Oryzias latipes: one gene and its partner. The protein of the gene in region 2 interacts with the protein of the main gene of each other region in a pairwise test. Links are inferred from orthologs where the notes say so. Each region holds a gene or a part of one and is shown on either strand. Other genes may lie near its edges.

Region 1 (4,374 bases), on a different chromosome or scaffold from region 2:
GTCGTAGGTGGAAGCACATGGGTTGATGTTGACCACCATGCAAGAGGTTCCCCGCCCACAGAAGAAGCCCTGCAGGACGCGCGTCAGTTTGCTGTCCCTAAAGGGTACCACTTGAGGTGGCCGTGATCTATTGACGGGATACAAAATACTTTGAATATCCCTCACTCAACAACTCAGCTCCCACATTTTGTTCTGCTCGGTCCAACCAAAGTGTCAGTTTTACACCTACTTGTTCTGGTTGTGCCTCAGGGCGCTGATACAGCGCCCCAGGGTCATAAGGGAGGTGTTGATGTTGGTGGCTTCCTTCATCCTTTCTCCAAGACGCTGCTCTTTGCAGCGTTCAGATCCGGCCAGATCACACACAGTCAGCCTGGAAAGTGCATGATCAAAACATGGCAGCGCCCAAAATAATGTCACTGAGTTTGAGCTTGCTGCAGCTGAACTTACTCGCTGATTTGCAAAGCTTGCCCTGGAACTGCATCGGGGTGGACGTGCAGAACGCGGATGGAAAAGATGCTGTGGCTGAATTCATGAATTAACCATTAGATATGCTACAAAAAGAATTCAAAACAGAAAACCTCTTGCTGGGGTCCTACCTTCTGCTGGAGTTTTGATTAAGATGAGTGCTGGCAAAGCTCTGGTTTCGACATCCAGCTTTTAAAACCTTCCAGGCTTCTTCTGCGCTCCGCACCTGGATCCAGGTAAGGTCTGTGGCGATGAAAGGGGAAGAAGAACTCAACGTTATGTATACATGTTATACAGTCAAACACAAAGCAGAGACTTGTTCCAGAGGACCAGCTGGTGTTACCTTTCACGTAGGGGTTGCCCTGCTTGTCGTCACTCAGCCGCAGTGTGATTCTTTTTCGGGACTGCAGGGAGAGTGAGGTATCCAGCAGGTCATACAGGAACTCATTGTAGATCTCGAAGTAGGACACCCAGATGGAAAACTGCACCCCTTCTTCCAGGTCGTCCCCTCCACTGAGAGAAAGGCTGTCCGGCTCCAAACACACACTGTCAGTGTCTGCAAAAAGAAAATTTGGTCTAATAGCAGGTGAATACGTTCTTACAGTGGGGGCCTGTAGGAAATGCCTCACTAGATCATATTACTTTCATCTAAAAATGACAGAACTTGTCAACACGTGGCTTTCCTCCTCACCTTCCAGTTGTGTAGTGATCTGAGTTGTGGAGGAAAGTCCTCCAACGCCGCTGTCCCAAACTGTGGTAGTCCCAGCTCGCCGAGACGTTAGATTTTCATCCTGTCAATAACGATAAACACCTCAAATTACGTGTCAAAATCTAAGTATAGCACCATTCTTTCCATTTCTATTTACCTCCTTGAGCAGAGAGTTTTTGCGAATTTCCTCCATCTTGACCTCACTTGAGTCGAGCTGCCTCACATCCTGAGACATCACAGGCTTCAGGTCCATGGCGCTGTAAAGGCGGCCCTGCAGCTTCCTGAACAGGGATACTAGAGCTCGAGGCAGGAGGCCTGCTTCCTGACCGCTGCCTGTAAAATGGCATTCAAAACTCAAATATGGGAGTAAAGGAACCAGATGCTGTGCTGAAAACATCTCAGGGAATGAATAAAATTGACCTTGGATGGTGTAGGTCTTTCCAGAGTTGGTGACACCATATGTATACAGAAGCCTGTTCTCTCCTTTAAGAACTTCATTTATCATTTTCTTCAGCGTGGCATCATAAAACTGTTGCTGCGTCGTTTCTGGACCAAAGATCTTTGGGAAAACAGGAGAAAACAGAAAATTGTGGATCCATCTTTTCTAGAGGTACCATACAGTGTTTGGTTATTTTACCTTGGAGAAACTGAATTTGTGAATGCTCTGAGTGACTCCCTTCTCTGCCGTCTTTGAATTCTGAGACTCTCTTGGAGCTTTGAGCAGCACGGTGGCATCATCTTGGACAGTCACACTGCCCTGAAAGAGGAGCAAAAATTAAGTGTAAAAAGCATCAAAACTGAAAACAACCACAAAAAAGTATTTGTGGAAATGACAACATAACTCACCTGCTCTTCGCCCTGTTCTTTCTCCAAGTCTGTAAGCGGTCGGATACGCAGGAAAACATTCACCTTCTCCATATTCCCTTCATCACAGATTCCAGATTTCTTTACTACTTTCTGAAAAAACACATGAATCAATGATTGCTGCCAAATTTATAGCTTTTTTTCCCTAATATTTTGATAAGTTTGACACTAAACACGCCAAAATTCAAAATATAAAAATAGGAAAAAACAAATTATTTTAACATTTTTGGTGCATAGCGGGAACAAAAACCTTGTGTTTGACCACTCCAAACTGCAAGATTCAGCAGATCCTCACCTGAGCTGCAACAGATGATCGAGGCTCCAGACCAGGAGAAATGACCGAGAGCTCAGGCAGACGCGGCCTGGTCAGGCATCCGTGCTCTGCTGCTGTGGACTCGAACACAGCCATCTCTTCCTCCTCGTCGGATGGACATCCATATGGAGAAGATAAAGAGAACGCCAACGCCATGTTTTCCTGTCACAAAACACACCACGTTCCCGTTATGAGTGTTGTTGGCACTCCCTAAATGAAATTTACAGAAGAATCTATTTTGTATTTATGCTAAACACACACTTACTTCAAATGTTACCTAACATAGCATACTTTGGGGAATTATTGGCACAACTTAACTTTTATTCCTTATATGTTTTGTCATGTCTTGAAAATTCAGGTTTTCAAAACAAAAACTTACCGATTAGCACAGGTCAGATTTAAATTCCTTCGCTTAGATCCCAATGTTTGAAATAGCCAACCTTTCTGTCTCACCTAAATTGTCTAAAGAATTAAACACTATCGAAATATCTGGTAAATCCTCTCCATGGGTTTTCAACTGCGGTTTTCTGGGCTACCGGGCTGTTTACTCCGCCTGAATGCGTTGAAATTTTTTGAACAATGCGCTGCTCTCCTCAGTTAGGTGCTGATTGGCTGCTTGAGGGCGTATGCTATGCTCCAATTGGCTGGAAGCAGAAGACACGGTGTTCAGTTAAAATACTTCCTTCTGAAACATAAACGAAACTTGTGAGTTCCTTTTTCGTTCCTGAAATAAAATGAAATAAAATAAAATAAAACTTGAAAGACAAACAGAAGAACAGTAAAGGCAAACCAACCAAAAAGATCGAAAGAAAGATCGAAATTTTTTGTGCACCGTTTCATTGTTTTTAATATTTATATTAATATTAATATTTTTACTCATTTGCTTTCATTTCCATAAAACAAAAACAAAATTTCACACACAATCTTAAAGGGAACTGAAAGAAGAAAACAAACTTTTTCACCCCCTGTTGCATAATTAGAAGAATAAAAAAATACAATAATTATTACATACTGTATTTAAACATAGCCTGCATATAATCTATAAAGAACATTGGTATTCTTGTGGTTTACATAAAAGCATTCAGCTTAAACACCATCAACCTAAAAAAGACATGAAGATAAATCATAGTAGCATTGAGAAAGAGTTTTTTGTACATACAATAAAGGAAGAAATACACAAAACACAACTGTGAGATATGCACACGGTCAACCAATAAAAATCTTTCCCAGGTCCAGTAATTTCATTCTTTCGTGGCATTAATGCTTTAAAAATGGACTTGGTTCTGTGAATTCTGGAGCCTTTGTTTTTGGACACTGTGCTGAACTCCGTAACAGAAGTAGATGATTAAGCCTAATAAAAAAAAAGACATAAAAGACATCACTAGTGGTTATTCTCATGCAAAACAATGTTTTGAGAAATGTTAAAGCAATATTCAAATTAGTGCAATATTCTTTTCATACCTACAGCCATCCACACTGAATAGCGAATCCAGGTGTCTGATCCAAGCTGAACCATGAGGTATACATTAATAAAAGTGCTAAGACTCGGAAGCAGGGGCACTAAAGGAACCTGCACACATCAAGGAGTGCAAGTGTTATGACAAACCCATGGATATGTGCGAGAATCATTTAGTGAGTTCTCAGTGACAGCTTTCATTTTCAGTTATTTTACTAAGCATGGTTAGTTAGCAGTTTCATCAAAGAATTTCCATCATGAAGAAAAAACAAAAACAAAAAAATGAGACATACCATAAAGGCAGCTTTCGATGTATTCTGTGGCTGTCTCCAGATAATTAGAACTGTGAGAACCAGCATAAGCACAAGCACAATGACACAAAGCAAACTCCACACCTGATGGGTGTGCAGGGCGGTGGCAGCCTCCAGAAGGAAAAGGCTTAAGATGACAGCTAAAAAAACTGCAACATAACATTAGTGTTTGATTAAAATAGCAATTAATATGGTGTTTAGTTTAATTTGAAAAATTACTTACTAGTAAAAAGAGTTAAAAGAGACACATTTTTTG
Region 2 (4,587 bases):
TGCCAAATCAATGAGAAGCAGCAGTTTATTAGTCTGTGAATGTCTGATCAGACCGGAGTGTGATTTTAATCATTCAGAAGATAAACCTTTGAAACTCTTTAACTTTGCATTTCAGGGTCTTTCTATAGGTTTTCATCTATGATCTAGAAACTCAGCAGGAGGCACAAACAGGGAAGCTGCAGGTTTTTAAAGGGACCAGCTTCTTCCTCTTGTCAACCGACTGACCTTTAATGGTAAACCAGAAGTTAATAGTTAGGATCACGTGTTTGAGAGAAGCTGCAGGCCAAGCTGCTGTTACTTAGAAACCCAGACGGTTAAGAAAGACATTATTTTTAACCCGTTTTAAAATAAAGACGCACATCCTGTAAAATCTTTTTTTTTTTTTTTTAGTGGCTCAAAAATAAAAAGGAATCAGCTTGTTTGCTTTTATGCAGACAAGGATGGCAGCGAGCCAACCTTTGTCCTCAGCAGAAAGACCCTTCAGCTCATTATGTCTGCTTTTTGTCTTTGGGTTGAATGATCTCCAGCCTCACAGAAACATAAACGGTCAAGTTTCTGCCGCTGAGGTTTCACAAAAGAAGAAAGAGGAAAAATAATGGGTTGTCACTTTGTGCAGCACAAAAGAGGTTGTTAGACAGAGGACCTTCAGTTTCCCACACTCCTGCAGGTTAGCAGGGTTTCTGAGGAGGATTTAAACTAGAGAAGCTACTCAAGATAGAAGTTTTTGTTTGAAATATATTTTTGCAGGTTTGCACAACCAAGCTTCCCCAAAAAAAAAACGTTCTAGACTTTTGCATATTCTATTCCAAAGATGTAATTTGGTTTTGCAGTGTGAGACTGCACAAACATGCAGTCACACGTAAACACATTACCGATCAATAAAGCCCTATAGCAGTGTTGAGCACTGGATCTAACCCACATAATAACTTCTAATCTCTGACATCTAATCCAGCAAACGCAGACTGGAGGGCTGACAACAAACCCTCAGCAGCTCAAAGCATTTAATAGCTAGACTCGTTCTTTCACCCACACACGTCAACAATGCTTGTCAGAGACACACACACACACACACACACACACACACACACACACACACACACACACACACACACACACACACACACACACACACACACACACACACACACACACACACACACACACACACACACACACACACACACACACACACACACACACACACACACCCACACACACACCCACACACACACCCACACACACACACACACACACACACACACAAAATAAATGTGTTTTTATTTTATTTTATTTTATTACAAGCACATACAAGAAGCCTCCAATGAAAAACTAGCCACTTGATTTGCCAAAAAGGTGAAACGGAGAACAAGCTGAGGACAAAAGGGTCCACGGTCCATTAATTCACCCTGTCAGATTATCAGATGACCTCTGCATGAGTAAAACTGTAAAGTGTTACTGCACTGCAGGTAGTATGAGTCAAAGGGCATCTTCAAAGAAACTGTGACACCATTAGCATCTAACTTAACAGATATAAGACTCTAAAAGCCTCCAGTTTTGATAAAAATTAGACTCGACAAAAACGTATTTTATGTGACATGCTTACAAAACAGAAACATGAAATACAGGTCAACGTGGAATCAAGCTAGCAGAACATTTAATGTCTGTGCTACAAGTGTCCACCAATCCCCACTGCAGCATTTGAGCTCCTAATCTTCCAGTTCCAGGTACATATCTTTCATTTCTAATATAAATAGAGGGCATTCATCAAACACATGTCAGGGCTTCACCCTTTGGGGGAGCTAAGTCGTAGTGCATTTGTGCACGGGACAAGCCCGGGCCAAGGTTTGCCGAACAACATGTCCATCGCCTTCAGGGTTGGTTACACCAAAGATCTGCATGACGTCACACTCAGCTGAGGACAAAGCCCACTTGCTTTCTCCCAGACAGAGAGGTGGGGGTAGAGCTCCAGCAGCTCAGCAGATACATATGCATGTGCAGAAACAGATATGCCAGGCAGCTGCAGGATACCCACGTGCAGATGTGCTGCCAGGCTGATGCCTCGGCATGTGCATGACGAGATTTATCATGCAAATGAGGCATTACAACCCAATGAAATTGATTTTACACATGTTTGCCACAAGGGTTTTGCACCAACATCAGTTTGGCCTCTTTTACTGCATGATGCAATTTAACTCCCAAGTGCAATCCAAGGGAACAATACACCCACTGCACACAGTGCTGTCCTGCAAGATTTACTGTTCTCATCATCAATGCACCACTGGATCCAATTCATAATCCAGGATATGCCCCACGGTTGGATGATCCCTCATTCTCACAACTATTATATTTTACACATGCATTGCAGTAACCACTACTGAGCTATCATTTTTATTTAAAAATATGTATATACATTATTTTGCTAGGCTGGGCTTGCACACATAAAGAAAAGTGGCAAATAAAAGGCAGACAAAGCCTGGGAACGCCCCCTAAATCCTGCAGGGTAGCTGTCATTTTATCAGCTGGATCAACCTTCATTCCAGACATTTTTGTCTCAACCCACAAGCAGAAAATAGAAAATGCAGCATGATTACAGGTAAAGCGTAAAAATAGCTCCCACCTGCTCTTTAAAGGGACGTATGTACATTTATTTGTTTAAACACATCCAGTCGCAATTAAATAAATAGACAACAAAGACACATCAGTGGATTTGAAGTGACTCACCTCTCAGAAAGGGAGTCTCGGACGCAGTTCCAGGTGATCACTGACGTGTGTCCGTCCGGTGCCTTTTTTTTTTTTTTTTGTTATCGCCCTGCCGTGTTGACTGCTACGTTGTCGGTTTCTAGGTAGCTAACGTTCCCGAAGCGTAAAATCGACCTCAAGGCCAGAAATCGTTGACCACATTAGCCGTGAAAGTCCTCAAATAATGTTAGTTTGAGCTCTGCCGCCTCGCCACACAACACCTCCGTCCTCCTCTCTTTTTTTCCAGCCTTATTTCGTCTTTTTTTGTGAGCTCGCAGCTGTTTTCGTTGTTGCAATCTCCTCTGGAAATTCCTCGTCTGTCTCTTTAAGAGAGCATTTCCGGGATTTGTTGAAGCGGAGGGCGGGACTTAGCGTACAGCTGGGTGCCTGTCATTTAAACGATTGGCTGTCCTGAAACCCCTCAACCAATCAGCGCTCGGAAATCCAGACGGCTTTAATATATTTAGATTTATGCAAGAATTCTTGATTTTTATTGGTTAGTGGATTAGTTCAGACCCCACCCAATACACGTGCTTTTTTCCCCCCCCCTCCCAGTTTTAGTGTCAGGGAAGGCTTTTGTGCTAAACCACTTAACATTTATGATGAATCATTTTAGTTATTTAATAAACGTTTACACCAAACGGGTTGTGAAATACGGTAACCAATAAAGATTAATAGCTTGTTACTTTTCTAAATGAGTTCTAATCTCCTACTTTTCCATCCCTTTTACTAAAACAGAGGAACCGTGTTGACACAGAGCTAAGAATAGATCAGCTATATGTTGTATCTCCATAGTGCAGCTGCACGGACTCCACGCCCAGCAGCCCACGGCTTACTGTCACTATTCTGCTCAGCCATCAGGATGAGGCCTGCATGACAAGGGCTTTAAAAATGGCCTTATGCTCACGTGACAGCCTAAATAAAAGTCCACATGGTTGCTCTTAACATAGTTGCATTGCCTAAGATTGATTATGGTGTAAAGCAAAATTATTAATAATTGACAGAAATGACCTCCATATGTTTTTATTTTAAAATACACTATCAGTGCTGTCTGCGAGGATTTTACAGTGACTGTTTTTGTTTTGTTTTTAACAGTAAAAATCTTCTATAGATAGGTATATGTTCCTCTCTGTGTCCCTACAAAGAATGGTATGTTTTTTTAAATTGACCAGAACCCATCTGAAGTTGACTGGATAGTGAGCACTAAGCTAAATGTGTGCATTTTGCGCCCTCTGCTGTTCACCTGAGAAAAGACACCTTTGTACAGGAAAAACGTTTATTTACATACCACAGCCATTCTATTTGTGTCACTTATAATTAATTTTTGATTACATTTATTCTAAAATTTAAATTAAAAAAATGATCATAATAATAATGACACATTTTATTCATATAGTGCCTCGCTGGACACTCAAGGTCGCCTCAGTACAAAAAAATATGTAAATATTCACGTTTTTATTTAGAAATTGTTAGTAATTTACAAATAAAATAAATTATTTACATTAAAAGAAATCCTTTTTTCTTGAATAAATGTAAAATTCAAATTTACAAATGTAATTTATTTTATGTTATGTTAGGGTTTTTTGTGTCTTTTTTATGTAACTTTTAAAAATGTCAATTTTTTTAGTGTTTTTTTTAACCCATTTGCTGTTTTTAATTGAGCTATACAAGTTCTATTCTATTCCATTCTATTCAATTGAGACTAAAAGCAGACAAAATGATGGCTCTAAAAAGACTGTGGCTATTAATTCAGTAGATTCATTTGAATTAATCAAAATTCAAATTTGAGAATTCAGTTCTTCTGTTTTTTCTTCGAACCCTCTCAGAATCCACTTCTTCTTAATTCCC

What was found.
Region 1: the proteins of fam214b (region 2) and kif20a interact in binary tests that used the Homo sapiens proteins (3 or more experiments, as listed by UniProt). The two-hybrid records come from large-scale screens. The link is inferred for Oryzias latipes from reciprocal best matches to the Homo sapiens genes ATOSB and KIF20A.

The regions. Positions count from the first base shown.
Region 1 is NC_019872.2:14,183,314-14,187,687, reverse strand, and holds the start of kif20a (kinesin-like protein KIF20A), read right to left. Parts: upstream 2,957-4,374; 5' UTR 2,731-2,956; intron 2,514-2,730; 5' UTR 2,508-2,513; coding exon 2,334-2,507; intron 2,132-2,333; coding exon 2,021-2,131; intron 1,932-2,020; coding exon 1,812-1,931; intron 1,734-1,811; coding exon 1,595-1,733; intron 1,508-1,594; coding exon 1,332-1,507; intron 1,257-1,331; coding exon 1,157-1,256; intron 1,022-1,156; coding exon 809-1,021; intron 709-808; coding exon 597-708; intron 523-596; coding exon 448-522; intron 371-447; coding exon 230-370; intron 128-229; coding exon 1-127. Other genes in the region: cationic amino acid transporter 2-like, read right to left, coding at 3,617-3,702, 3,813-3,921, 4,101-4,267, 4,342-4,374. UniProt on the Homo sapiens protein: Mitotic kinesin required for chromosome passenger complex (CPC)-mediated cytokinesis. Following phosphorylation by PLK1, involved in recruitment of PLK1 to the central spindle. Interacts with guanosine triphosphate (GTP)-bound forms of RAB6A and RAB6B.
Region 2 is NC_019867.2:3,985,061-3,989,647, reverse strand, and holds the start of fam214b (protein FAM214B), read right to left. Parts: upstream 3,075-4,587; 5' UTR 2,722-3,074; intron 1-2,721. UniProt on the Homo sapiens protein: Transcription regulator that may syncronize transcriptional and translational programs.